Linked DNA regions of Tamandua tetradactyla. The protein of the gene in region 2 purifies or fractionates together with the protein of the main gene of each other region. This does not show direct contact. Links are inferred from orthologs where the notes say so. Each region holds a gene or a part of one and is shown on either strand. Other genes may lie near its edges. The genes, in order: VAPB and OSBPL9.

Region 1 (15,459 bases), on a different chromosome or scaffold from region 2:
GAAGTACGGCAGACTTGAGTCACAGACTCTGGGTCTCTGAGCAGGGCAACTGTGTGAATGTGCATATCATTCAATGAGACATATGCAGAAAGAAGTTTGGGGAAGAAAGGAAAAGGGAGTAATGACGAGTTCAGTTTGATGCATGCTGCATTTGAGGTATCTGTGGCTCCACATACAGGCTTGGGTCAGGCATGGGATTATATATGTCTAAGTGATGTTAAAAGCCAAGGGTAGAAGGGTGCACGGGTAGTTCAGTGGTTAGAATACTCGCCTTTCATATGGGAGACCTGGGTTCAATTCCTGGGCCATGCATCCAAAAAATATATAGCCAAGGGTAGAAAACAAATGTAACAAAATAAGGTACGAGTGGCTGACAGAGTCCAGAGTTGAGAGGCTATTCTGGAGACTACCCTTTGCAAGCTTCAGCTAGACATAGCTAATTGTCACGGTTTGCCAAACCAACATCATTCACGTTAACCCTAAAGAACACCCAGAGTGATAATTGAGACTATATAAAAATTTCATGCTCTAAATTTACTTTCCAGAAACCCATAACCTCCAGATGGTTACTAGGCCAGATAAGTCCTAAAACCCAGAAGGACAAGCCTCTTCAAGAGCATCACTTAATTCCATTCCCCTATCCTAAATTGATGAATCCCCTTTTCAACATGAAAAAGTTAAAATGGGCATAGCCCAAAGACTCCTACAGATTTGGGAGAAGGTCCAAAGGAGAACGAGGAACTATAACAGAGAATGACAGGATTTAACAAATGAGTATGATTGCTGAATCACCATACTGATATTTCTTTTAGTCTTCAGTGTTTTGGAGCAGCTAGAAGGAAAAATCTGAAATTATGGAATGGTAACGCACACCAAATTTTGAAATCTGCTCTGTAACTGCTTGTTAAAATATACTTTGAAAATTATTACGTGTGTGTTTGTGCGTGTGTGTGTATGCTATATTTCACAAAAAGAAACAAACAAAAACAAGGAGCCCTGTAACAAACAGGAAGGCAGATGGGTATACAAAACTGAGTAAGTCAGTGGTGGAAGCCTGTTGCCTTACTTCTCCTTGAAGAAGAGCTAAGTTACTGGTAGAAAACCTCCCAAGAAGAAGAGGGGTAAGGAGTACAGGAGGGAAGAAAGAACGAAAAGAAGGGAAGTGAAGAGTGAAGGGGAGAAGAAAGAGGGAGAGAAGAAGAACCTGTAACCCTGAGTCCAAGAGGACTCCATGAGGAGTGAGCAAAAATGGCCAAATGTGTGTGGAGGAAAACCCGAAAAGAATGATTAAGGAGGTCAAGGGAAGTGTGTCAAGAAGCAGGAATGGTGATGGGTGGCAAATGCTACAGAAAGCACACTATGGTGAAAAACATGTAACAACAGATGTAGTGATGAAGCAATATTTAAGCTCCTGAGCAATGATTTTAGGAGTGAATGGATGGTGAGAAATTTGAGATTAAGACTACTCTTTCCAGAAGCTATCAAGACAAAAAGGGAAGGCTGGAGAAAACAGAGCAATTTTTCTTTTTTAAAGGTTGAAGAGACAGCACTTAAGATGTTTAGTGAAGATGACTAATTATCAAGCATGGTGTTCAATGCGAGGTATATAAAGAAAGAAAAAGAAACTATTTACATTAAAAGGGAATGACAACAAAGAATTCATTAAAAAATAATAATAATAAATGAAATGACCAAGTTTTCTCTGGAACTCTCCAAAAGACCTTTCATGTTTCTTCCACCTCTGCCAATCCCTTAGCTAGATTAGAGGTTAACTAGGCAACCATGATAAAATGGGATTCCCCTGCTCCCAAATTTCATGAGAATTTTTGACTGTGCACGTCTATAGATTCTCTAAGGAGTGATCTATGGCTTTCTTTCATCCAATTAGTAAAGCAGTGCCTGACTTTAAAAAGGTCAAAACAGACCAATTTAGATTTTCTAGGCAGTCAGTCCATCAGGATACATTCATATGCCAACAAATCAATTCAACCAACAGAATGAGAATTCAAATAAGTCTCCACAAGGACAAACCTTTGGTTTCCTCTTTTTTATTCTTGTGTGTGCATCTATTTCAAATGATCATACTAAACATGAAAGATGATCAAGTCTAGGGCTGTTTACATTCTCTGGAATACCAGAATAAAACAATAGTAAGAAAAGAATACTTTGCACCAGCCACTACTAAGAAATACTCAAGAAACAAAAACCTTTGCTGCTTACATTCTAACAGGGAAGACAAAGCAATGAGTTAAACGAGGTACCCAAAGAATAACTGAAAGATGAAACAAAACATGCAAGTGATGTACAATTTGAGGTAATGTCAAAATACCTTCAATAATACCCAAGAAAGTTGAGTAGAAGTAGTGAGGTTTTAAACAGAACAAGAGGATTCATTAATTAAATATTTGGGAAACCACTAGGTCAAAGCACTGGTAAATGCTGTGGAAAATACAAACCCTGGAATCCACCCTCAGTGGGGCTTTCCATCTTTCTTTTTCAGCTAAAAAAGGTTTTAGTCTCATGTTCACAAGGCTAGAGCTGAAAGGAGTTAAGAGGTATAGAGTTCAAGCCTACTCACCTTGAGAGGAGGAAAAGCTCAGGAAGCTGAGTGCTTCTCCAGCCTGGGGCATCCAAGCCTCTCTTTGTAATGCAAAGTGTACAAGCTTTGCAGGCTCAAAGATCTTGAGGTGCAAATTCAGATTCTGCCAAGTCCTGGGCCTTGGCTCTCTCATCCCTAAAAGGGAGATGATGATAATACCAACTTCTCAGGTAGGTATCACTCCTTTCCTTTTCTTTTCCTACTATACTATAAATGTTAAATGATATAACTAAAAGGCTGAAATGGTACCCAATTAACTCAGAAACATATTGTTTGTGATGACAGACATCAAGGAAATAAAGGACTCAGAAAGCAGGGACTGGGGTGGTAAAAGAGAACATACAGGGATAACATTAGCATATAATTTTCAAAACAAACTCACAATGAGAAGTGATCAAAATAGAATATAAGTTCTTAAAGGAAAGGACAGAACTGGTAGAAAGACTTCTTTTACCAGTCAGCCAGTTGCTCTAATGCCCCAGGGCAACTCCGCACTTGACAGAAGTGTGCCGCATGAGACAATTACTAGATTACAATAAAGCACGTTGGTTTTTTTTTTAATCTTTTTCTTTTTAATACACTTTCTGTATTCCCATGATTCTGTTTCCAGTCCTCCTTTCATCTTCCTAACAACATAATAAGAAAACCAAAGGCCTTCCTTGTCCACTAAACCTTGAAAAGTTGAAATATAGCAAGTAAATTGAAACTGAAACATAGCAAGCAAACTGATAAAGAACATGGCCTTTGCAGTCAAACAGATCTTGGTTCAAATCCTAGTTCCAACCTGAGTCATGAACCCAAGTATCATAACAATACCTTAGGCTCTAGGCTCTACCTACTCATTTGTTGTAAGAATTAAATAAATGAACACTCAGGAAAATATCTAATACACAGTAAGCATGCCAAGTCACATATCTCAAATGTCACCTTCCCTGTGAAATACAACCCCCAAGTAGAATTAATACAGTTTTTTCTAAACTCCCAATGAGGAACTGCCATGTGTGTTCCTTCCTCAAATTCTCCCTTTCCCTCACCACCGAGAGGGTGGAAACCTTAAGGGCCAGGACTTCCTCCCTAGCCCCAATCTTACCCAGTGCCTGACCTATAGGAAGATTCCAATGTGGGGTTATGGAACCAATTTGAATCAGAGTTGTATTATATCCTACCAGCTAGGAAACTGTCTGTTCTAGTTTGCTAGCTGTTGGAATGTGATATACATCTAGGGATTAGAAGAAACCGTTGCTCCCACAAGACTGACTGGGATTAAAACATGGCTTTTCTAAGGTACATAAATCCTTCCAAACCAGCACACTGTCCAGAGAGAAAATCTCAAGGGATGAGCTGTGGAAAAGGAAGAAATCCAAAATATCCCCAATTGTGGATAATAATCTATCATGTATGTGATAATTATATTCATGATGTCTCTAGATTCAATCTAATCCTGTCCAAATGCTTGGGCTGTGATCATTTTGAGGAATGATGAGTTCCCAAAGTACGTGTCATATAAAATAAAAGAGCACTTTTTGTTATTCACCTTAAGTTTACCTCTTTCTATACTCTAGGAAAGTCTCTATTATATATATTAGCTCACTCCTTCTTGCTTCTTTGCCCAAATAGTGGCCTAACAGGAGCATGTAGGACTAAAGACTATATAGCCCCACTTGTAAAGTTTAAGTGGCACCTAAAAGGTAATTTATTTTAAAGGTGAATTATACATATTTGGAAATGGATAGCACAATACCATGTGATGGCAGAACACTACTGTGAGTGTAATTAACAAGGCTGAGCATGAGTATGGTTGAAAAGGGAAGACTAGGGTCATGTATGTCACCAGAAGGAAAGCTGAAGGATAAAGTTTAGAATTTATAACATAGTGAAATCTACAGCACACAATGATTGTGGTTAATTGCACAAATTTAAGAAAGTTTTTACATGAACCAGAACAAATGTACCTCACTAATACAAGATGTTAATAACAGTGTGGTATATGGAAAAAAATAAATTAATGCAAACTGAAGATTATAGTTAACAGTAACACTGTAATATGCTTTCATTAACTGTAACAAAGGCACTATACTAAAGCTAAACATCGATAATAGGGGTGTGAACCTTGTATCTGATGCTCCTTTTATCTACCTTGTCAACAGACGAGTAGAACATATGGAATAAAAATAAATAACGGGGGAACAAATGTTAAAATAAATTTAGTATGAAATAATAGGGGTGTGTAAGGGGTATGGGATATTTTTTCCTAGAAGAAAGAAGAATATTTTCATACTAACTGTGGTAGTGAATGCATTAACTATGTGATTATACCTACAGTCATTGATTGTACACTTAGGATGGATTGTTTGATGTGTGAATAAAACTGTTAAAGAAAAAAGAAAAACAGACAATTCCTTTAAGAAGGAGGAAAAAAATGCATTTGGCAATCTTCCCCTTATACCTTTTAGACCATATTAAACAGCATTAGAAGCACACAGACTTTAAAACTTTGGTAGAATGCAGCTGCAAAATGGTCTGAGTTACTGCTTTCTCTTTATTCTTTTATTGAAATCGATAAAGTTTAAGATTTCTATTTAAAAAAAGGATAATTTTTTTAGACGTTCCTAACTTAATAAGGACCCTTAATTCCCACTTTACAAAAATGCAAATCTGTGAAATCTCTAGCACACAGAAGTTTCACCCTACTTTCCAAAGACTCAGTGGCAGACCTGCAAATTAAGTGAAATAAAATGGTCACCAGCATTGGTGGGAGGAACCCCTTTTTGAGAAAGGATTTTCTGGAAACAAAAACAATGGACCCACCAGGGGCATCTAAGAAAATGGAACAATGGAATATATCTGTAGAACTGCAGATAAGCAATACCTGGTAATAGACCAGTTTCAGTCTAGTAAAATAGCTTATCAGAATGGACAAGCATACCACACTAGCCAATGCATATCTTTTTTTTTTTAATAATATCTTTTTATTATTTTTATTTTTAGGGAAGGAAAAAGCGAAGAAAAAGAGAATGAGAAAGAGAGACACTAAAAGAGAGAAAAACAGAGGAAAGGAGAAGAGAGAAAGGAGGGAGAGGAGGAGGGGGGAAGGAAGAAAGTAATGTTGGCAGCTAAGCATCACATTTCCCATCTGTCCCCAAATTCTTCACCCAGGTCATACTAGAGTAAAATATCAGAGAAGCTGCACTGACTTTCCATGTTGGAGCTGACCACTTCTTAGCCTATTATTCAAAGCAACTCATAAAGTTCGCCTGAGCCTTGACATTGTCATCTTTACCAGAGTCATAATATCAAGATTATATAGTTTCTATCCTTTCTTGTCTAGCTTATTTCACTGAGGATAATGTTCTCAAAGTTCATCCACGTTGCCATATGCTTCGGGACCTCATTTCATCTTATTGCTGCATAGAACTCTATTAAATGTATTTCCACATTTTATTTATCCATTAGTCTGTTGATGGACACTGGGACTGCTTCCATCTTTTAGCAATTGCAAATAGTGCTGCTATGAACATCCAGTGTGCTAATATCTGTTTGTGTCACTTCTTTCAGAGTCAATGTATATCTTCCATTTAAAATAGAAACTTAATGTCAGCCAAACAGAACATTTCTTCATTTACTTTTGTGTTTGTTCTATATAAGTTCCCCCTTCTCACCACTCAGTAGAGCTCCTTTACACATATGGTTTTGATGCTGCCCAATTCATGAATGATAAACACCTCAAATAAACTCCCATAATTAATATTTTATCTAATATTTTTAACAGTTTTGGTGTCAAAAGTGGGATCTGGGGTTCCAGGAGCCATGTTGGGAGGGGCGACACAGCCTCCGCAGCTCCAGTTGCAGTGCCCTTCCCGGTTCCCCCAACCTAACAGAACAGTTACTGGGGGAGTGGAGACAATACAGAGCAGCTCCCGGAGCCACGACGGAGATCAAAGGGACGGCGTACCCCATCCTGGAACGGCTGACTGTCTGGGAGAACCAGCTCCAGTGAGATCACCGAGGGGCGCGGGCTTTCCCGGGCGGGACGGCAAACGGCTGGAGTCCCTCCCTTCCTCCTTCCCAGGCCAGCTGGCAGAATTGGGCAGGCGGTCCCCTTGGGCCACGGCGGCTGGCGCCCGCACCATGCAAGGCCCCCCGGACCAACTGAGAGAGTTGGGTCGGAAATCCCCAGACTGCGGAGAACAGTGACCGGGGGGTCCCTTCAAAACACGTGACTCCCCGGTCAGGCTGGGAACAGTGCACTCTCCCGGGCTGCAACAGCTGGCACCCTCCCACCACGCTTGGCACCCCGGGCCGACTAGGAAATTCGGTCGGGCGCTCTCCCGTGCTGCAGCGGCCGGCGACCCTCCCTGCGTTCGGACCCCCGGGCCGGCTGGCACTCTTCCAAGACGCTTCGGCTGCTGAACCTCCCCTACGGCGAGAGTCTTTCAGAGTTAAAGGACCCACAGCAACTTTCGCTGGTGGAACCCGTAGACAAACGTGTGCCACGAGCGCCACCTACTGGGCAGGATAAGAAAAACAGAACCCAGAGATTTCACAGAAAAATCTTTCAACCTGTGGGGTCCAACACCCAGGGAAATCTGACTAAATGTCCAGACGCCAGCAGAAGATAACGGATCACGCTCAGAAAATTGAAAATATGGCCCAGTCAAAGGAACAAACCAATAGTTCAAATGATACAGGAGCTGAAACAACTGATGCTGAATATACGAACAGAAATGGAAAACCTCTTCAAAAACGAAATCGATAAATTGAGGGAGGACATGAAGAAGACATGGGCTGATCAAAAAGAAGAAACAGAAAAACTGAAAAAACAAATCACAGAGCTTATGGAAGTGAAGGATAAAGTAGAAAACATGGAAAAAACAATGGATACCTACAATGATAGATTTAAAGAGACAGAAGATAGAATTAGTGATTTGGAGGATGGAACATCTGAATTCCAAAAAGAAACAGAAATTATCCGGAAAAGAATGGAAAAATTTGAACAGGGTATCAGGAAACTCAAGGACAATGTGAATCGCACAAATATACGTGTTGTGGGTGTCCCAGAAGGAGAAGAGAAGGGAAAAGGAGGAGAAAAACTAATGGAAGAAATTATCACTGAAAATTTTCCAACTCTTATGAAAGACCTAAAATTACAGATCCAAGAAGTGCAGCACACCCCAAAGAGATTAGACCCAAATAGGCGTTCCCCAAGACACTTACTAGTTAGAATGTCAGAGGTCAAAGAGAAAGAGAGGATCTTGAAAGCAGCGAGAGAGAAGCAATCCATCACATACAAGGGAAACCCAATAAGACTATGTGTAGATTTCTCAGCAGAAACCATGGAAGCTAGAAGACAGTGGGATGATATATTTAAGTTACTAAAAGAGAAAAACTGCCAACCAAGACTCCTATATCCAGCAAAATTGTCCTTCAAAACTGAGGGAGAAATTAAAACATTCTCAGACAAAAAGTCACTGAGAGAATTTGTGACCAAGAGACCAGCTCTGCAAGAAATACTAAAGGGAGCACTAGAGTCAGATACAAAAAGACAGAAGAGAGAGACATGGAGAAGAGTGTAGAAAGAAGGAAAGTCAGATATGATATATATAATACAAAAGGCAAAATGGTAGAGGAAAATATTATCCAAACAGTAATAACTCTAAATGTTAATGGACTGAATTCCCCAATCAAAAGACATAGACTGGCAGAATGGATTAAAAAAACAGGATCCTTCTATATGCTGTCTACAGGAAACACATCTTAGACCCAAAGATAAATATAGGCTGAAAGTGAAAGGTTGGGAAAAGATATTTCATGCAAATAACAACCAGAAAAGAGCAGGAGTAGCTATACTAATATCCAACAAATTAGACTTCAAATGTAAAACAGTTAAAAGAGACAAAGAAGGACACTTATACTAATAAAAGGAACAATTAAACAAGAAGACATAACAATCATAAATATTTACGCACCGAACCAGAATGCCCCAAAATACGTGAGGAATACACTGCAAACACTGAAAAGGGAAATAGACACATATACCATAATAGTTGGAGACTTCAATTCACCACTCTCATCAATGGACAGAACATCTAGACAGAGGATCAATAAAGAAATAGAGAATCTGAATATTACTATAAATGAGCTAGACTTAACAGACATTTATAGGACATTACATCCCACAACAGCAGGATACACCTTTTTTTCAAGTGCTCATGGATCATTCTCAAAGATAGACCATGTGCTGGGTCACAAAGCAAGTCTTAACAAATTTAAAAAGATTGAAATCATACACAACACTTTCTCGGATCATAAAGGAATGAAGTTGGAAATCAATAATAGGCGGAGTGCCAGAAAATTCACAAATACATGGAGGCTCAACAACACACTCTTAAACAACGAGTGGGTCAAAGAAGAAATTGCAAGAGAAATTAGTAAATACCTAGAGGCGAATGAAAATGAAAACACAACATATCAAAACTTATGGGACGCAGCAAAGGCAGTGCTAATAGGGAAATTTATTGCCCTAAATGCCTTTATCAGAAAAGAAGAAAAGGCAAAAATGCAGGAATTACCTGTCCACTTGGAAGAACTGGAGAAAGAACAGCAAACTAATCCCAAAGCAAGCAAAAGGAATGAAATAACAAAGATTAGAACAGAAATAAATGAAATTGAGAACATGAAAACAATAGAGAAAATCAATAAGACCAGAAGTTGGTTCTATGAGAAAATCAATAAGACTGATGGGCCCTTAGCAAGATTGACAAAAAGAAGAAGAGAGGGGAAGCAAATAAATAAGATCAGAAATGGAAGAGGAGACATAACTATTCACCTCACAGAAATAAAGGAGGTAATAACAGGATACTATGAACAACTTTACGCTAATAAATACAACAATTTAGATGAAATGGACGGGTTCCTGGAAAGACATGAACAACCAACTTTGACTCAAGAAGAAATAGATGACCTCAACAAACCAATCACAAGTAAAGAGATTGAATTAGTCATTCAAAAGCTCCCTAAAAAGAAAAGTCCAGGACCAGACGGCTTCACATGTGAATTCTATCAAACATTCCAGAAAGAATTAGTACCAACTCTCCTCAAACTCTTCAAAATAATCGAAGTGGAGGGAAAACTACCTAATTCATTCTATGAAGCCAACATCACCCTCGTACCAAAACCAGGAAAAGATATTACAAAAAAAGAAAACTACAGACCAATCTCTCTAATGAATATAGATGCAAAAATCCTCAATAAAATTCTAGCAAATCGTATCCAACAACACATTAAAAGAATTATACATCATTACCAAGTAGGATTCATCCCAGGTATGCAAGGATGGTTCAACATAAGAAAATCAATTAATGTAATACACCACATCAACAAATCAAAGCAGAAAAATCACATGATCATCTCAATTGATGCAGAGAAGGCATTTGACAAGATTCAACATCCTTTCCTGTTGAAAACACTTCAAAATATAGGAATACAAGGGAACTTCCTTAAAATGATAGAGGGAATATATGAAAAACCCACAGCTAATATCATCCTCAATGGGGAAAAATTGAAAACTTTCCCCCTAAGATCAGGAACAAGACAAGGATGTCCACTATCACCACTATTATTCAACATTGTGTTGGAAGTTCTAGCCAAAGCAATTAGACAAGAAAAAGAAATACAAGGCATCAAAATTGGAAAGGAAGAAGTAAAACTATCACTATTTGCAGACGATATGATACTATACGTAGAAAACCAGGAAAAATCCACAACAAAATTACTAGAGCTAATAAATGAGTACAGCAAAGTAGCAGGCTACAAGATCAACATTCAACAATCTGTAGCTTTTCTATACACTAGTAATGAACAAGCTGAGGGGGAAATCAAGAAACGAATCCCATTTACAATCGCAACTAAAAGAATAAAATACCTAGGAATAAATTTAACCAAAGAGATAAAAAACCTATATAAAGAAAACTACAAAAAAACTGCTAAAAGAAATCACAGAAGACCTAAATAGATGGAAGGGCATACCATGTTCATGGATTGGAAGATTAAATATAATTAAGATGTCAATCCTACCTAAACTGATCTACAGATTCAACGTAATACCAATCAAAATCCCAACAACTTATTTTTCAGAATTATTAAAACCAATTAGCAAATTTATCTGGAAGGGCAGGTTGCCCCGAATTGCCAAAAACATTGAGGAAAAAAAACGAAGCTGGAGGTCTCGCGATGCCGGACTTTAAGGCATATTATGAAGCCACAGTGGTCAAAACAGCATGGTATTGGCATAAAGATAGATATATCGACCAATGGAATCGAATAGAGTGCTCAGATATAGACCCTCTCATCTATGGACATTTGATCTTTGATAAGGCAGTCAAGCCAACTCACCTGGGACAGAACAGTCTCTTCAATAAATGGTGCCTAGAGAACTGGATATCCATTTGTAAAAGAATGAAAGAAGACCCGTATCTCACACCCTATACAAAAGTTAACTCAAAATGGATCAAAGATCTAAATATTAGGTCTAAGACCATAAAACAGTTAGAGGAAAATGTAGGGAGATATCTTATGAATCTTACAACTGGAGGCAGTTTTATGGACCTTAAACCTAAAGCAAGAGCACTGAAGAAAGAAATAAATAAATGGGAGCTCCTCAAAATTAAACACTTTTGTGCATCAAAGAACTTCATCAAGAAAGCAGAAAGACAGCCTACACAATGGGAGATAATATTTGGAAATGACATATCAGATAAAGGTCTAGTATCCAGAATTTATAAAGAGATTGTTCAACTCAACAACAAAAAGACAGCCAACCCAATTACAAAATGGGAAAAAGACTTAAACAGACACCTACCAGAAGAGGAAATACGGATGGCCAAGAGGCACATGAAGAGATGCTCAATGTCCCTGGCCATTAGAGAAATGCAAATCAAAACCACAATGAGATTATCACCTCACACCCACCAGAATGGCCATTATCAACAAAACAGAAAATGACAAGTGCTGGAGAGGATGCGGAGAAAGAGGCACACTTATCCACTGTTGGTGGGAATGTCAAATGGTGCAACCACTGTGGAAGGCAGTTTGGCGGTTCCTCAAAAAGCTGAATATAGAATTGCCATACGACCCAGCAAAGGTATCTTTGAGTAGATACCTTTGCTAGGTATCTACTCAAAGGACTTAAGGGCAAAGACACAAACGGACATTTGCACACCAATGTTTATAGCAGCGTTATTTACAATTGCAAAGAGATGGAAACAGCCAAAATGTCCATCAACAGAAGAATGGCTAAACAAACTGTGGTATATACATACGATGGAATATTATGCAGCTTTAAGACAAGATAAACTTATGAAGCATGTAATAACATGGATAGACCTAGAGAATATTATGCTGAGTGAGTCCAGCCAAAAACTAAAGGACAAATACTGTATGGTCCCACTGATGTGAACGAGAATAAACTTGAAATATGTCATTGGTAACAGAGTCCAGCAGGAGTTAGAAACAGGGTAAGATACTGGGTAATTGAAGCTGAAGGGATACAGACTGTGCAACAGGACTAGATACAAAAACTCAAAAATGGACACCACAATAATACCTAATTGTAAAGTAATCATGTTAAAACACTGAATGAAGCTGCATCTGTAGGGGTTTTTTTGTTTTTTTTTTTACTATTATTACTACTTTTATTTCTTTTCTCTATATTAACATTTTATATCTTTTTCTGTTGTGTTGCTAGTTCCTCTAAACCGATGCAAATGTACTAAGAAACGACGATCATGCATCTATGTGATGATGTTAAGAATTACTGAGTGCATATGTAGAATGGTATGATTTCTAAATGTTGTGTTAATTTCTTTTTTTTTCTTTCCGTTAATAAAAAATAAAAAATAAAAAAATAAAAAAAGTGGGATCTGAAGGACATGCTGATGGCAGCAAGAACAGACAAAAAGACACCTGCTGAGACTTTTGTGCTCTCTGCTCTCTCATGGCACCCAGAAGTCAATGGGAAAGTTCCTCCCAGATATGAGATCCAACTATGAGCAGTACTAAAGTTTGGTGGTCAGACTAAGGGTCCAGTTAGAGTCCAATAAAACTGGTTAGAGTCTGGATAAAACAAGTCTGGGGGTCAGTCCACAAAGACTTGAGTAAATTACATGGATTCTTTTTTCAAAATCTGGGGCTCCCCGACTGAGATGCCAGCAGGGTACACGTTTAAAAGCTATGGACCTCAAACTAGTCTATTTTTACAAAAGCAGACTTTAGTGAGGATAATTCAGGATTGCAGTGGCCACAACAGAGTAGTTTAAGTTTAGATAAAGTAGTTATTCTCAGAGGACATTTAGAAAATAAAGGATCCCACATTCTCAAAAATAATGGGATGCATATTTTGACTGGTATTCAAAGGCATCAATCAATCAGTATTGATTTTCAAAATAACCTCAATAAAAGACTCCTTATAATAGCAAGTTAAAAAATTTTAAGAAATGAGAAGCTAAGACAACTGACAAGGACTACAAGCAAACTGACTTGACTCCTACTGTTCTTTCAGCCCCTTTCTGTTTAGCCTCTTTTGTCTAATTACTCAATCTACTAACCCTCATTCTCATTTAACCTTTAACTAAAGGCCACAAACAGATAAAAGCGGAATTCCAAACCAAGCCTACTGCTCCCCCACTTTCCCTTTACCCAGCCCTCCCCACAGCTGCTTTATCTGGTTACTCCTGACCCCCTGAGGGAAAATGATCTAGTACACGCTCTTTTAAAGAGTAAGCCTTCTGGGCAGGCAACGGTGGCTCAGTGGCAGAATTTTTGTCTGCCATACCAGAGACCCGGGTTCAATTCCTGGTGCCTGTCCATGTGAAAAAAAAAAAAAAAGATTAAGCCTTCTGCAGAACCTGGCATGTCTGTTAGTACAGAATTTAAACCTTGGACCTGAACTCAATTAAGAACTACAAGTAAAGATTTTCCCAATTGAGACCAGCAAATACTAGCATAAGAATTAAGAATTCTTCTGGGTGCCTATGATCCAGGGTTACCCTAACCCTGACCTATATGATGAACTTGAACCCTTATTGGTCAGAAGCTCAGATGCTAAATCCTGGATGGTAAAAGCTGACTGGATGACCCAGAAAAGGACCTACAAATTCCCTCTTTCCACAATAAATCTGAGGTCAAAAAGGCCCAACATATAGGGCAAAGCTTCTATAAGATCATATAACAGGGCAAAAAGAAATCTTTTTAAGTCTTCTCCATGAATACTGATAGGAACGCTTTAGCCTACATTTTAAGCAAGTAACCACAACTTGTCCCATCTGCCCAAAATTCTGATAAAAATATAACAGTGGAACAAGGATATAAATTCAGCCCGTTATAGAAACTACTGAAATTGTATTTCTATGTTTTCTGCATTCCTGTGTTTTTAGTCTGACTCACAGCTGAAAACTTAAAATTGAAATTATAAGCTCTCTAGCGTCTGTGTGTCCTACCTCCAGACCGTACTACTAAATTAACTTACAAAATTCCTTAAAAGAATTCTATTCAAATTGGATTAAAGATAAATACGTGTTTATATATAAAATAATACTCCCAACGTTCCAGAAATTAGGGAACTCAAACATTCAATATTTTTGGTGAAAAAGGAGCATCTGCAGAACTGAACCCAAATGTTTAAAAAATTCCAGTTCACATAATTTGGTAAACCTTTGACTATTGGACTAATTTGATATCATTAGTTAAATGAAAAACAGCTATGTCTTTCGGGTTATCGACGTTAACTATAATACAGGCATACAATTTAATCCTACTTGAGTACGTTGTTCTTACATTTATACAGGTTTACTAGTCAAATAAGATAGCAATAAATCTATTATATGTTTAAGATGACGAAAAAGTAAATTTGTCTTTAACCAAATTGAGCTATTTTTGTGACAAACTTTATTTCAATTGTGTTTTGCAGTATGTCAGTTCTAAGATCTTTTTGGTAACTTAAATAGGTAAGGTATACAAGATGTGTTTTCGTCAAGGAAGAAGAGAGTAGTTTTGTCCTAAACTAAATTGAATGGCTGCTGTATACTTAGAAACAGGAAGTGGTAGGACAAATCTTGAATGGATAGAGGAAATTATAGGTTTGTGGAAATAAACATTACCTGTCATGGTCAAAGCTGCCTAAGGTTTGATAGATTTATTTATAAGATTTTTTTAAAGAGCTTGATATCAAACAGTATATTCATACAAAACTAGAATTTAGTTTTCTCTCTGCTAAAATGATGGCATTTTCTTAGATTATTGGTCTGCTCTTAGTAAGAGGCTGTAGAGGATTTTTCTTAACCATCTAAGTAACATGTCTAGAAGGCAAATATTCTGTCTTATCAGACACAGAACATTATCCTTTACAGTTTAAGAGAGCAAGTATTCTCACTTTTAAAAGAAGTTGGGTTTTTTGCCTTTTTAATGATCATATAAAGTCCTGTGCATACTTTAAAAATTTATTATTGTTTAATAAACAATAATAAATTGGTTAAACAGAGAACTAAATATTGTTTCACAGTGATCCATGATCCTATTTAAAAAATGTTTAACCCTGACAACTTTTGACATTTTGCCTTCACAAAACCAAACCTTAAATGTGATATCCTCAAAGGCAGAGATGTTTATTTGGTGGAAAATTTATATTTTGGGTAGCAGATTACCTAATTTAACTAGTATGGTCAATTCAGTTTAACACCATAAGTACATGGAATTTGGAATAAGACGTAAGATTTTGCTGGTTTGTCCAGGTTAGTGTAATGCCCTGATATATCCCACAGAAATTTCAGCAGTGAATAAAGAAGTATTTATAAAGTCCCCTTGGGGAA
Region 2 (15,391 bases):
CATGCCAAAAAAAAAAAAGTCCCTAGAAAGAAAAAAAGATTACACGAAGTACTTGGAAGCTACATGAGGGTAGAAACTAAGTCTGATTTGTTCTCCACTGTGTACCCAGAGCACTTGGTACAGAGTAAAGTGCCCATTAAGATTAATGTGAAATTGCCCACACAGTGCCAAAATACAGTAGACACTTGATAAATATCAGATTTATTCCAACAGTCTTCCTTGACAACAGTTCAAAACATACTTAATAGATTTCAGGCCGTGAACCCGGAGCCCGTGAGAGAGCGGGTGAGCGGGGTGGAGCGCGAGGCGAGACAGGGCCTGAGCGACTAGGGGAGCAGCTGCTGCAGCGCAGGCAGCTGGTCCAGCGGGAGGAGCGCAACAGACCACGTGGCCTCTCCATGAAGGCAGTGACGGAGCTCAACCCACCTCTGTCCAGAGAATATCGCAATCTCTCTGTGGTCTATAGGAATGTGGTTGGTACTAGGCGAACTCGCTGGAGGGTGATCAGCAGCATTGAGCAGAAAACCATGGCTGAAGGAAATGAAAAGAAATCGGAGAAGGTTAAAGCCTTTCGGGAGAAGATTGGGAAGGAGCTGGAGACAGTTTGCAACGATGTCCTGGTTCATCAAGAACTGCAGTGATTTCCAAAATGAGAGTAATGTATTTTACCTGAAAATGAAAGGCGATAACCACTGCTGCTGGACAGAGGTAGCCTCTGGGGAGAAGAAAAACAGTGGGGTCTAAGCTTCTGAGGCCACTTACAAGGAAGACTGAAATCAGCAGAGAGCACATGCCACCAACATTCTTCTGGGTCCGGTCCTCAACTTCTCTGATCTACTATGAGATCCAGAATGCACGTGAGCAGGCCTACCTCTGAGCCAAACAAGCCTTCGATGATACCTTAGCTGAGCTGGACACACTAAATGAGGATTCCTACAAGGACTCCACGTTCATCATGCAGTTGCTGCAAGACAACCTCACCCTCTTAACTTGGGATTGGAGAGATGAAGAAGCAGAAGGCAGCTAACAATCCTATGGATCCCTGGCCCCGCCTTCACTCTTCCCCCTCCCCCATTATCTCCTTCCTTGTTACAATCACTAAATATCTAGTGTTAAGCCTGTCTGTATCAGCAGCACAGCTACTCGGATCTGCTCCCCTGTCCCTAGGGAAGCAGTTTCAGATAAATCTTTATAGGCATTGCTGGATCGATGGTTGCTTTGAGCCCACTGGAGCTCTTTTTTTGAATTATGCTGACAAGTGCATTCTGAACGAGGCATTTTATTGTGCCTACTATCCACTGAAATCCAAGCGAAAGTAGAGGGGAAGTTTAGAAAGGAGAATCAGCCACCATAGGCTTACAGTTGATATTTTTAAAAGCTGATAGTGTTTTGTTAAGCAGTAATCTTGTGCATGCAAAAATGAATTCACTCCTCCCACCTCTTTCTTCAGCAAATGGAAAACTGTTAAGGGACACTGATACAAAGAGACACCCTGCCCTTTTCCATCAGTTTTATAATAAATCGTTTAAGGGGAAGTTTCAGTAGTATGTTGTTTTGCCTCTTTAAATTATGGTGTGCACAAACCTTCTTTTCAATGCCATGCATTTAAAGTTTCGACGCTTGTAACTTTTTGGCGGGTGGGTGGGGATTGCGATTGCTTAAGAATCACGGATTTGTTTTTTGTAACTCTTTGACTATTATCCTTTTGTATCCTGATAGCATCATGTGCATCTACCCATGTCAATCAAGATGGGTGATTATGAAATGTCAGACTTCTAAATTAAATATTTTGGAATTCAATGGGTAAATAAATGCTGCTTAGGGGATATTAAAAAAAAAACAACATACTTAATAGATATCAGAAACAGATCCTGATGTAACAGGAAGTTAGATCAGGGAGGATCATGTGCACAGGGTCAATCGGTTCACATGTTTTTTAAATTTTTTATTTATTTAGTGCATTCATCCCTTGGTCCACTTAATTGTAGTCATAACAATCTATCATTAGCTATATAGAGGAGTGTTCAAAATCATCAGTTCTACACTCCAGATGGTGTACTTACGTATGCAGGGAGTTGTACCAGTATTGCTGTGTGTGTCCAAATCTTCCGCAGATTTAATTACAAAGCTACAAAGTGAATGCATAAATTATGTACAAAGGCCCATGTTTTGGAAATCACAGTGCAGCCTTGGGAATTAGATAGGAGGTTAGATCTTTGTAATTGATACACTCCCACTTAAGGGTTGAAATTCTTTGGATCTGTGACAGCCTCTTTCTGTCTACACGATTAGCTGGATATTTAAACTCCAAATACTAGATTTCAGAAAGAGAAGAACTTTGCAAATGGTTTCCCAATCTGGCGTCGGGCTCCCTCTCCAGCTATTTCCCACCACGGGTTCACTTGTTTTCCTTGCCCCAGCCATGGGAAAAATGTTCCATTTCCCAGATGCACAATACAGTTTCAAGCCATTGCACTTTTGCGCACACAGAAGGCCTATTCCTAGTAGCTACTCCATAAGTGACAGTTTCTCCTCCCTGAGTAAGAAAGTTCAAGTAGAATATTATCTCTTTTGGAAGCTCTTCTACTTCCTCTAAAAAGAAGGGAATAAAAGGAATGCATTTGATTTGGCATTTATTATGCAGAGCACTATGCATGGTCCTTTGCATTTATCATCTTATTTAATCCTCAGGTCAATTTTCCCAGAAATTTTTCTTATTCTCAGTTCTACATGAAGTACTTAACATCTAAAATGTTAAGTGTCTTAGCCTACGTCCCCCTGCTAGTCAAGGGAAGAGATGGAATTGGAATCCAGGTTTGCCTGACTGTCTGCCTCAGGCAAATTAGTTGTCTCATTCTTGGGGTTCTCAAACCTGTTTCATCATACCATTGCCCTAATACATACCTCACTGTATTGATCATGGTTCTCTAGGGAAACAGAACCAACAGGAGATTATCTGTAAATAGTATGAGATTTTTTTTTTTTTTTCACATGGGCAGGCACCGGGAATCGAACCGGGGTCCTTTGGCATTGCAGGCAAGCATTCTTGCCTGCTGAGCCACCATGGCCCAATAGTATGAGATTTTATAAAAGTGCGTCACACAACTGTGGGGATGCACAAGTCCAAATTCTATAGGGCAGACTACAAGCTGGCATTAAGATGAAGGTCTTCAATGAATTCCCCAGGAGAAGCTAGCTGGCTAAAGTAGAGACAAAAGTTCTCTCTTCTGACTACTGAAGCTATCACCTCCCCACTAAAAGACTTCAGCTAATTAGGTTAAATCTCTCTCGGAAGACACTCTGCTTAGCTGACTGCAGATATAATCAGACATAGATGCAATCAATGTATCAATGATTTAAGTCCAAGAAATGTCCTTGCAGCAACAGATCGACCAGTGCTTGCTTGATCAGATGAACTGGGCATCATTACCTGGCCAAGTTGACATATGAACCTAACCACCACACTCACGGTATGGTAATTCATTTATATAGCTTTATAATCTGCCTCCTGTACTAAACTTTTGAATCAGAGACCAAATCTCTGTAACATTAATGCCTAACCACCATGACTGGCATCCAGTCATTACAATACAAACAGAATGCAAGACTCTGAAAAATCAAAGAATAGAAGAAATTTATTGAGCTAAAGTAGCATTTATGCTGGAGCAGCAACAACAAAAAGGTTACTGCTCAAAAGGCCTGGGTTCTAGAAGGCAGCTTTCATGCTTGTTTGGGACAAAGGGAGGATGTGGGGTAGGGGTGGAGAGGGACAAGGAAGACATGATTTGTCTAGAGCAGGGTGTCATTAGGTCATAGTCTGTTCATTAGCAACCTATACAAGCAGGATTGTTTATGCAAGTTTTGTGGTTATCTGGTAAGGATTAGCAGACTTGCTGGGGTCAGTTTAACTCGCTTATCACAGTGAAGGCAGGGGTCTTTATCAGCACTGCAAACGATCTTTGGCATGTCAGCCTGCCTCAGTTGCTCTCTGTTTCTTCTTTGTAGTTTCCTGGGTAAAATGGGAGTTCAAGGAGATCAAGATAATTAGTATAGCTATTAACCATTCCAATTTCACACTCTTATAGTCAGTGTGTAGGCCATGTTGAAGCAGGTGTTTTAGTTTCTTAGTTGCTAAAACAAATATCATACTATGTGTTAGTTTGACACAGGCATTTATTGGCTCATGGTTTCAGAGGCTAGAAGGCTTGCTTCCTCCCAGGTCGGTATCTTCTGCCTGGCCTGCAATCTTTGGTGTTCTTTGGCTTTTCTGTCACATGGCAATGCACACAGTGATGTCTTCTCCTTTCTCGTCAGGGTTCTCTTGACTTCTGACTGCTTCCAACAGCTTCTCTCTGTTTGAATTTCACTCTATTTATAAAGGACTCCAGTAATCCCCATTAAAGCCCAATCTGATTCAGTTGAGTCACACCTTAGTTGAAGTAACATCTTGAAAAAAATGTGGATCAAGACCAAGAACATATCTAAATTGGCGTATACAGTTCAATCCACCACAGGGGGCAATAGTGAATTGGATTAGGAAGCTACTGCAGAGGTTTAAGTATGAAATGGTGAAGGCTTGAACCAACATAGTAGCAGTCGACATGGAAAGGAAAGAGTAGGTGGTTAAATTGGTAAAATTGACAGGGCTGGTTCATCTCCTGGATTGGGGTATTTGGTGAGGGAAAATAAAAGAGTGGGTCTTTTCTAGGTTTCTGGCATGAATAATGGATGGTGGTTCCATTCACTGAGATAGGGATCACAAGAAAAGGAGAGGATTTGGTGAGAACTTATCCTGTTTGGTACAGGTTGAATTTGAGATGAATTTGAGCGTCATCAAGTTGAGATGTTCAGGAGATAGCTGGACCCAGAGAGAATAAAATGATTAGAGAACTGTCCCATGTAGGCAGTATTTTAACTATAGAAGTGGATGAGATCTCCCTGGGACCATGGGCAGAATGAGAGTGTATCCCTGTGAGTCATTATGATAAGGAAATCATTACCCCACTCATGAAGGTGCCAGGCTAAAGGGCACATGTTTGGAGCCTGGCGGCATTTGGGAAACTTTCGAATCTCCCTTGGCTTCAGCTTCCTGAAGGACTAGCCTTGATCATCCTCACCATTTTTTGAGAGAGTAAGGTGAAGCAGTTTTTAAAGTTTTTTTTTTTTAAGTTTTATTAACACACCACAACCATCCAAAGTCTACAATCAGTGGCTCTCAGTAGAATCAGTCATACTTACATCACCACAATCAATGTTAGAACATTTTCATAGCTCCATAAACCAAAAACCCATGCCCCTTACACCCCCATTATTGATACTTAGCATCAGTGTGGTTCTTTTGTTACAATTAATGGAAGAACATTAAGATATTACTGTTACCTGTAATTCATGGTTGGCATTAGGTGCATTTCCCCCCATAAACAATCCTGTTATAAACACCTTGTAGCCGTGACATACATTTGTTCTAACTTATGGAACACTCTTTTATTTAGATACTATTAACCACCTTCATCATCCACAACAGTGTTCAGTGTTATAAGTTCCATTTCATCCTCTAGCTTTCCTTTGAGTGAAACAGACAAACCTAAACTTCCCCTTTCAATCACAATCACAACTGATAATGTGTTACCATCAGCCTTATCCGTTGCCAGACATTTACAATTAACCTTTAAAAAAAGTCCTGCACACTAAAATGAGCTGGGACTCAGCATCAAGGGATTGGGAAAACCTTCTAGACCAAAAGGGGGAAGAGAAAAATGAGACAAAATAAAGTGTCAGTGGCTAAGAGATTTCAAACAGAGTCGAGAGATTATCCTGGATGTTATTCTTACACATTTTATAGATTTCCCCTTCTTAGTTTAAGGTGTATTAGAGAGGCTAGAGGGAAGTGCCTGAAACTGCAGAGCTGTGTTCCAGTAGCCATGTTTCTTGAAGATGAATGTATGATGATATAGCTTTTGCAGTGTGACTATGTGATCATGAAAATCTTGTGTCTGATGCTCCTTTTATCTATGATATTGACAGATGAGTAAAAAATAAGGATTAAAAATGAATAAATAATACGGAGAACAAAGGTTAAAGTAAATTGAGAAGATGGAAATACTAGTGAACAATGAAAGGGAGTGGTAAGGGGTACAAAAAAAATAGGGGGAACAAAGGTTAAAATCTATTGAGCAGATGGAAATAATAGTGGTCAATGAGAGGGAGGGATAAGGGGTAAGGTATGTGTGAGTTTTTTCTTTTTTCTTTTTATTTCTTTTTCTGGAGTGATGCAAATGTTCTAAAAAATGATCATGGTGATGAATATACTACTATGTGATAATATTGTGAGCCATTGATTGTACACCATACACAGAATGTTTGTATGTTAAGAATGTTCATGTCTACATGTTGTTTTGGTTTGATAATACAAAACATATTAAATTTTTTTAAAAATCCTGCACTAATTAAGCATCATTTCCCCACTCTCTATCCTCATTCTATCTCCTGATAACAGCTATTTTAGATATTAACTCCTTAAGTTTGCTCATTATATTGAGTTCATATTAGTGAGATCATATCGTATTTGTCCTTTTGTGTTTGGCTTATTTCATTAAACACAGAAATGTTCTCCAGGTTCATACATGTTGTTGCATCATCCGAACTTCATTCCTTCTTACAGTGGAATAATATTCCACTTTTTTTTATACCATATTTTTTTTATCCATTCATCCGTTGATGGACATGGCTTGTTTCCATTTTTTGGCAACTGTGAATAATGGTGCTTTGAACACTGGTGTGCAAATGTGTTTGCATCCCTGCTTTCAGTTCTGGGTATATACTGAGTAACAGGACTACTGAGTAACAGGGTCATATGGCAGTTCTATACTTAGGGGAAGCACTATTCTTAGTAGCCAAAAAAAACAGACCTAGACTACAACTACTTGAAACACTCTAGGTGCAGTGGAGGGATTTCCCACAGCATCTATTTTGTGACTAGGCCAATTGAGAATCATGAATGTGTTCATCAAGAGCCTGAGCACTTGAGGCTGGTGGCTGTCGATCACTCTTCTTCTCCAGGTTGTGTCACATCTCATATCCAAAAATAGAAAGCAAATCCTATCATCATCCAGACTCCAAATAGGATCCAGGTCCCATCGCTCATTTCTATCATCAGGTAAACATTTATAAAGAGGCATACCAGCAGGAGGCAGGCACAGCGGGGATCTTGAAGAAAAGAGGGGTGGGGTCCTGGGGCTGCCTCCAGATGATGAAAGTAACAGCAGCAATAAGTACCAGTAGCAGAGCAGTCTCCAGTGTATAAAGTGGGTCTCCAGAAAACAAGTGCTTGGGCCACTGGTCCAGGATCAGGTACAGGGCGGTCAGCAGCAGGACAAAGAGAAAGACACAAATATTGATAGTTTTGCCAGATTTCAGCATAGGGAGGGTGTTGGTGGAGTTACACAGACATTTTTAGAATCTTGAAGGTTTGGGCTTCAGGTACAGATTCCAAGGACTTTGCCTCACATACAGACTTCATCTCAAGTATGTCCACCTGCACTTCTTCATTTTTGCTTAATTTCTGGTCTGGCTGGTATCTGAGAGCGAGATCGGAGAAAGCCACCAGGGAGTAAGAAAGCAGGGTCCCAAACGACATGAGGTCCATGAGATCAGCAAACTCCAAGAGCAATGCCATGAGCACAGCAAAGACTCTAGAGATCACAGTGGCTGTGATGGAGATCTGTGTGTGAGTGTGGGTCCAGGCTAGGCTGTAGAAAAGGAGCCCAGCTTCGGCCATTGCATAGGCCACACGAGGCATGGAGACCCTGGAGCCCAGGAGGCTGGACGTTAAGAGCACAGAGGAAACCAGCAGCCACTGTGCATATGGCAGGGGCCCATCCAATGTGAAGAAAAGCCTCTGGCAAGGGCTCTCAGGATAAATCTGGTGGTAGGGCATCATAAGGGTGAGAGTCGCTGAGACACAAAAATGCACCAAAGAGCAGATGATGAGTGAGATCACCATCCCCAAGGGGATGGGTGGCTGAGGATCAAGGGCTTCTTCCCCTGTAGTGGCAATGCTGTCAAAACCAACAAATGCAAAGAAACACGTAGCTGCTCCACGGAAAATTCCACTGAGTCTGAAAGGCATAAATCCTCCAGAGCCCAGAGTGCCCAAGCTTTGGGTGCCATCATATGCCATGTTGTAGTCCTCTTTTGTGAGCTGCCCGTTGTGCAGATCCCCCTTAATGACGCCGGAGATGATTACAAACCGAGAACCAAAAATATTCACGCTCATGAACACTTTCGTAACAAGCGCAGACTCTCTAGCTCTTTGAGTCAGCAGTCCAGTAAGCAGCAAAATTAGGCCCGGGAGGAAGAAGTCTGGATACTTGGTCAGGATGTGGGGCACATACAATGAGAAGCTGCCCTGCAGCACCTGAGAGATGCGGTTTCCAATCAGGTTGTCAAAAGTAGAGCTCCAGGCCCCTGCGACACCAGCAGAACCTATGGCGTAGAGTGAATGAGGTTCCAGCCAGTGATAAAGGCCCACACTTCGCCCAGTGTGACGTAGCTACAGATAGAGACCAAGCGAGAGCACGGAACGCGGGGCCCCAAACACTGCGTAGCCCAGCCCGGCCAACACGGAAGACAAGCCAGCGACCGGGAAGCGGAGGGTGGTTGAGGGTTCACCTTTGCCAGTGGCCACTTCACCAGCCAGGTCTTACATGCCTGCCCTAGAGTGCTGCCTACACCCACGACCTGCAAGTCAAAGATGCTAAGACAACTGACCAAGCGACTCCCAGACAGCTCTGCCAGCTCCCAGGGCCGCTTGCGGCCCGGCTTCCGGCTGATATGGCGAACTTCCGGCCACAGCATTCTTGGTGCCCCGGAGGAGGATGCTGAGATTCGGACTGCTGTCCCAAGCCCTGGCGCACTAGACAGATCGAAGTCAGTGAGGTTCAGTTCAAACCGAGTCGGGCTGGAGGTTATGGATCTTCCAGTTTTTAAGTATTTTGAAGCTGCTCAAGACAGGGTTCACAGACCAGCAGTAGTACACCAGCTGAAAGCTTGTCAGAAATTCAGAATTCAGGCCCCACACTAGACCTAGTGATTCAGAATCTTAAATTTAGCGAGATCCCCAGGTGGTTTGTATGTACTGAGGTATAGAAAGCCAGTGCATCTTGAAACAGTTTAAAAGCACTGGCCTACAACACCTCCCTCAAAATTTCTTTGGCTCAATGTGTGTTGAATTTCCAAACCTTTAATAGTAGGGTTAAACTTTGTTCTATGCTCTAGCAACTGAGGGTTCATGTTCCTTTTTATATGTGAGAAACAGGGAAAACCCATATTAAGCCCTCTTCCTGAGATTTACTGATTTATCAAAAATATTTCCTGCCATTAACAGGCTTACAGTGCTGGTAGCTCCTAAATAGATTGATTGCTATACTCCATGGTTTCTCAATCTCAGCATTATTGACATTTTGAACCAGATAATTATTTGTTGTAGGGGGCTGTCTTGTGCATTATAAGATGTTTAACAGCATCCCTGTTCTCTACCCACTAGACACCACTAGCATCCTCCCAGGTGTGACAATATAAAATGTCCCCTAGTGACAAAATTGCCAGTAGTTGAGAGTCACTGATGTAAAGTCATTCCCAGAGATCGATAGATATATGCTTTTTTTTTAGGTGCAGGACCTGGAATCGAACCTGGGTCTCCTGCATGGAAGGTGAGCATTCTACTACTGAACCACCCATGCACCCTGTATACATTTTTTTAAGACAACTTTTTAAAGAGTTTTATTCACACACCATACAGTCCATTCAAAGTGTGTAATCAATAGCTCTTAGTATAATCACAGACTTGTGCATTTATCACCACAGTCAATTTGATCCTGTATACATTTTTAAATAAAATAAGATTGTACCACTTACAGATCTAAAATCATTTTATACCTATTTAATCAACTATATATAATTTTATATCTAATTTTTCATTTATCATTATATTTCAAACATACTTTTTAATGACTGCACAACAGCGCATTGGAGCTATTATAATAATAGATTATTATAATTTAATTTTTTCCCTATTGTTGGACATTTAAGTTATTTCCAGGGTTTCACTATTGTAAGCAACATCCTTGCCCTTAAATCTCATTCCTTGCTTAATGCTAAATTCCAAGGAGTTCTTGATAATATTTTGCTGTGGCCAACTGGAGAATATCCATGTTGCTCATGTGAAGGCAGACCTTGGATAATTGATATCCACAAACAATTTGCAAAACCCAAATAACTTACTGTCATGGAGGGATTCGGACACTGTGAATCAGTAGATGCAATAATGTATCCCAGACTCTCTGTCTGAAGTTTGTTCAGAGTTTAGGTCAGACACAAAGGATTGAGGGGACAGTTAGACCTGAGGGAGGGAGAGTTTGAAATGGCTAAAGTCCAGAGTAGCTGGGATGTGGGTCTCCCAGGGAACATTACACTGAGAGGAGAAAAGATGAGTTCATTCCTCTTTTCTCTCCTTAAAATATTTTCTCTCCCTTCCCCAGCTCCTCTCTGCCTCAGTATCATAGCTGCCTTTTCCTAAATTTGACACTTCTCTTTTTTTTTGCTCTCTAGCTAAAGGAAAGGATGGGAAAGAATGAGAACTTGCTGTCTGTGGACAAAAATAGGCTTTCTTTTGCTTTTCCAAGATTTAAACTGGATCATCTGTTTCCTCTACATCCAGAAAAGGGCAGTCAAGTTTTTGTAGGTTGCTGTGTTTTCTCTGAAGCAAGGCAGCTTTTTGTAAATGTTGTTTTATTTGATGCCCAACAAATGCCAATTAAGAAACATGACAACAATAACAGCAACAACAAAAAGCAGTTAGTGGGGAATTTAGGAAGAGAAGGCAGGAAACCAACAACAACAGAATACAATACGAAGTAATTTGCACCAACACTCCCAGCTGTATAAAAGTTGGAAATCATTTCTGCTAGAAACTACAAAACCACTTTTCTAAACAGATGTGTAAAGAAGGAAACTTCATCTCGAGAAACACAAGCAGGTTTTGTTCATCCTTTTTTTTTTTTTAAAATTGGTTACTCAGAAAATAATCATTCTCTCAGTTGTACAAGTTAGAAACCTTGGTATTATCTCTGACTCCCCTTACTCCCTCCTCTTCTAATTCCGTTATTTAGTGAGTTTTAACTTTTATCTACAAAAAGTTTCTCAATAAATATGCAGTGTAGTATCTTTCTTGTTCTTCATTCTTACTGCCATTGTCCAAGTTTACACTCTTTCTATTGCTTGCTTGGCTGGTTAAAAGGCTCTTTGTTTTCTTGCTTCCTGTCTTTCCCCTTTCCAATTTGTTTTTAATTTTCTGCCAGTATAATCTTTTTTTAAAATCACGTCTTTAGTTTAACATTTATTGATATACCAAATGCTTGGATGAAGTAGACCCAGTTCCTGCAGTTGATAAACTTATGTTTAATGGTTAACATTATGTCTCCCTTCTGACTCTGAGTCTAATCCTCTTTCCATGCTGCCCTTCAGCTGTCACTTCATTCTGCATGAGGCCAGGCACTGAGGAATGTGGGAATTTGAGCCTCTGTGTCTCTGCCACATTTAATTTTATCTGATGATCTAAAACATGTAGTTTGAGACTTTGTGGCGAATGTAGACAAAGAGCTACACAAGTGGACTTGATCTCATGAGTGAAGAACTGTCTTTCCTCTCAGTTCTCCCTGACTACCTGTGTTTAGACATTTGAAGCTGTAAGTAGAACCTGCTGATGATTATTGGTGAGCCCTGATGAAAGTTAAGACTGAGTTAGAAGTTGATGCTGCTGCCTGTGTCCTATCCAGGACATTTGTTTACACATATGCAATGCAAATATAGCTTGCAGCTGAGGTGGAATGAATCTGGGGTGTTGAGTCCTACATTGTAATTCTGGTTATGCTGTTTATTAGCTATGTGAACTTGTGCAAACCACTCTACAACTCTGTGTCCCAGTAGCCTTGTCTGTAAAATGGATGTAATAATACAGACCTTGAAGGATTGTTATGAGAATTAAAGGAGAAAATACAGGTAATGGTGCCTAACACAGTTCTTGGCAGTTAGGAGTTCAATTTTGGTGAAACCAATAATTCAGGTGAAGCAGTAGTTATTAAGTACCTTCTGTGTGCCAGGCACTGGGCTGGTTCTAGATAAAAAGATTAATGAAACCCAGTTCCTGCTCTTAAGGAGCTAATGGAGGACTAATAATCAACGCGTTGTAAATCTTTAACTCTATCTGAATCATATATCAAATCCTTTCAACTTTCCTTATCCTAAAACACATTAGCAACATGAGGCTGTGCCCTCAATGTTTCTCCAACATCAGGTTTCTAGGAGGAGTGTATACTGTATTTGGGGGGAACTACGCAGAGTAAATAAAAAGATAGACGTGTTTATGTGGATTCAGGTACTCAGATAACTTGCCTACTTAGTATTGTTAGGTCCCTGGGCAAGTCGGTTAATTACTGTGAACCTTAGTTTTCTTATTAGTAAAATGTGGAGACTAATGCACTCATTGTGTAATAACCCAATGGTTATTGAATTGTGATGCTTCGATGTGATGAAATGTGTAACAGGTCTGGCACAGGATAAGTAAAAAATGGTGGAACTAATAAGAAAAAATAAATCTAAAAGGAAAGAATGGCTTTGACTCATGCCTCTGATTAGCTGTAAGGGAACTGAGTTTCTTAATTTTTGATTTTATGGAAGATGCCAAAGGTATGCCTTCTTCTTAGCAAACTTTGTTGAATTGTGATAGAGACTACTACAAAGACAAGAAAGAAAAAGAGAAACTGGAAACTAACTTATATTGGCTGCTATCTCTTCCAGACATATTCTAATTTACTCATATTGGCGAGGAATGATTGCATTAATTATTTCTGAAGATGAAACTAAGTCCTACGAAGGGCTTATTCAGGCTCTGCAGCCAGAATGGTAAAGCCAGGATCTCTCATTTCTCTAACTCTAGGGGTCTAGAAAGAATTTCTTTCTATTCCATTTGCTGCCTCATATGGAGAGGAATTGAGAAGACATATAAAAGAGGATAAAGAAAATATTACTCAGGTTTGTTGATATTGGTGGAAGGCCTTAAAGGAGACAAAGTGTAGTTTGCAATGAACAGAATGAAGAATTCATATTGTGAGTTGGCAAGACTTCTGAGTGCAGGGGACAGCGTATGTGGTGTGTTTTCAGTAACTATGAGAATGGCCTTTTCCTAACACATACCACTGCTGTTTCAATTCTCTGAACAGATTTCTCCCTTCTTTGGTTCCCAATCACATTTTCTTTGTACTCCTCTGATGGCTTTCATTTTCCTCTGACTTTTACTAGTTTGTGTGTGTGACCTTTCCTTCTCACCAGATCTGAAGCTTCTTGAGGCCAGGGACTGCATCCACATAGCAATAAATCAGCACCTTTCATGCCATATGATCATTTTTTCTTTCACATTATATATGTGGTTAGATCAAGTTATCTATGGATTCTATCTCAGGAGGGTAAAGGAATCGTACATTTTTTTAAAAAGGAATGTTTGTTTAAAAAATTCTTCATTTTAGTAACATGTACAATTAAAATTTCCCCCGTTAGCCACTTTCAGATATATAATTCGGTGGTGTTAATTACAATTAAAATGTTGTGCTACCATCGTCATATCCATTATCACAACTTTTCCATGATCCCCAACAGAAATTCTATACCATTAAAGCTTTAACTCCCCATTCCGTAGCCATCCCCCACCCCTGGTAACCTGTATTTTAGTTTCTGAATGTAGGAATTTGCTTGTATAATTATTTCAGATCAGTGAGATTATACAATATTTGTCCTTTTATGTCTGGCATATTTCACTCAAAATGATGTCTTCAAGGTCAATCCATGTTGTCATATCATGCCATACAATTTTTTTTTGCATGGGCAGGCACCGGGAAACAAACCCGGGTCTCTGGCATGGCAGGTGAGAACTCTGCCTGCTGAGCCACTGTGGCCCGCCCCATGCCATACAATTTTAATACAGTGAATAGCCAAACTGAATAAATAAGAAGCTCTTTGAGGAGAGGGAGAACACGTTTTAAAACAAATATTTATGGAGTACCAGCCATATTTCAGGTATGCTCTGGTTGCTGGAGATACAGTTGTAAACAAGGCAAAAATCTCTATTCTCATGGAGATTATGTTTGCGGTGGGGGAGAAAATAATAACTATCTACCCCTCCCAGCATCTTCCACGGTATTTTGGGAGTACTAATTGAATGTTTATTTATGTAGGCATCTTGAGAGTGAATTCATCAGAAAGAGCATTGGGTTAGAGGCAGAAATGTAAAGCACTTATCACATTGTTTATATGTTGTTCTAATTAGACTCTCTTATGTTTAAGTGAGGGATCTTACTTTAGCTCAGGGCCTGGCACATAGGAGGGGCTGAATGATACCTTTGTTATTTAGTTACTGTGAGATTGGACAAGTCTCTTGGATTCTACCCATTTCCTCATCAGCTACATGAGGTATTACTATCTACCCCATAGGATGTTGTGAGGACTACATGCTTCTCTTGCTGCTTCTGAACCATTTTCCCTCCCTCCTTTTCCATAAACCTGGCTTCTTTAGTTAGGTTCTTGACATTCCACTTTACCATCTGTTATTCTACTTTGCTGCCATCATCTACCTACCCTCTGGGCATTAGCCTTCATTCAATGATGATTTTAGCTCCTAGTTTTCTCTTCTTTTACACTGCTATCCCTGTAATTATTCTGGTTGACTTCAACATGTACTTGGATGATATTATACAACTCCTTTGTTTCTCTGTCCCTCGACTTCCTCGTCTCCAAATCTGTTCCTCCACCTGACCTCATTTGCCCAAAGCCATCGTCATATATTCATCTTTGTCCTCATCAGTAACTGTTCCACTTCCCAAGTCTCAATTTCAGGCGTCACATTTTCTTTCCACCACTCCCTACCCTTCCATGTCACTTACTCCCACTCCAGCACTATTGAGAACTCCATTTCTTCATTCTTTCCCCTCTTGTTCTCATTTCCTGCCTTAGCCAGACTAGGTTTCAGTCTGTAATTATAATCACTCCCTTGGGTATCATTGTGAATTTATTTGTCCTTCTCTGACTTCACAGGCTCACTTGGTTAAATGCAAATATCTATCTACTTTGACCTTACTTTTTTTTTTTTCATGGGCAGGCACTGGGAATCAAACCCGGGTCTCCAGTATGGCAGGCGAAAACTCTGCCACTGAGCCACCATGACTTGCCCTGAGCTTACTTTTGAATAGTGTATCATTACTGGAGAAAAGCTGACATCCCACTTTAAATGCATGAACATAAATCTTAAATGGGAACTCAGACTGTTCAGCAATCCCACTTCACA

What was found.
Region 1: the proteins of OSBPL9 (region 2) and VAPB purify together in Homo sapiens (affinity purification with mass spectrometry; 7 studies listed by BioGRID and IntAct, counting the BioPlex papers as one, with this or other methods). This does not show direct contact. The link is inferred for Tamandua tetradactyla from reciprocal best matches to the Homo sapiens genes OSBPL9 and VAPB.

Annotation. Positions count from the first base shown.
Region 1 is NC_135327.1:27,001,234-27,016,692, forward strand, and holds the start of VAPB (vesicle-associated membrane protein-associated protein B/C), read right to left. Parts: upstream 5,534-15,459; 5' UTR 2,733-5,533; coding exon 2,579-2,732; intron 1-2,578. UniProt on the Homo sapiens protein: Endoplasmic reticulum (ER)-anchored protein that mediates the formation of contact sites between the ER and endosomes via interaction with FFAT motif-containing proteins such as STARD3 or WDR44.
Region 2 is NC_135328.1:170,566,362-170,581,752, reverse strand, and holds the start of OSBPL9 (oxysterol-binding protein-related protein 9), read left to right. Parts: upstream 1-8,570; 5' UTR 8,571-8,752; coding exon 8,753-8,928; intron 8,929-9,669; coding exon 9,670-9,710; intron 9,711-11,614; exon of another isoform or gene 11,615-11,761; coding exon of another isoform or gene 11,762-11,771; intron 11,772-15,391. UniProt on the Homo sapiens protein: Interacts with OSBPL11 to function as lipid transfer proteins.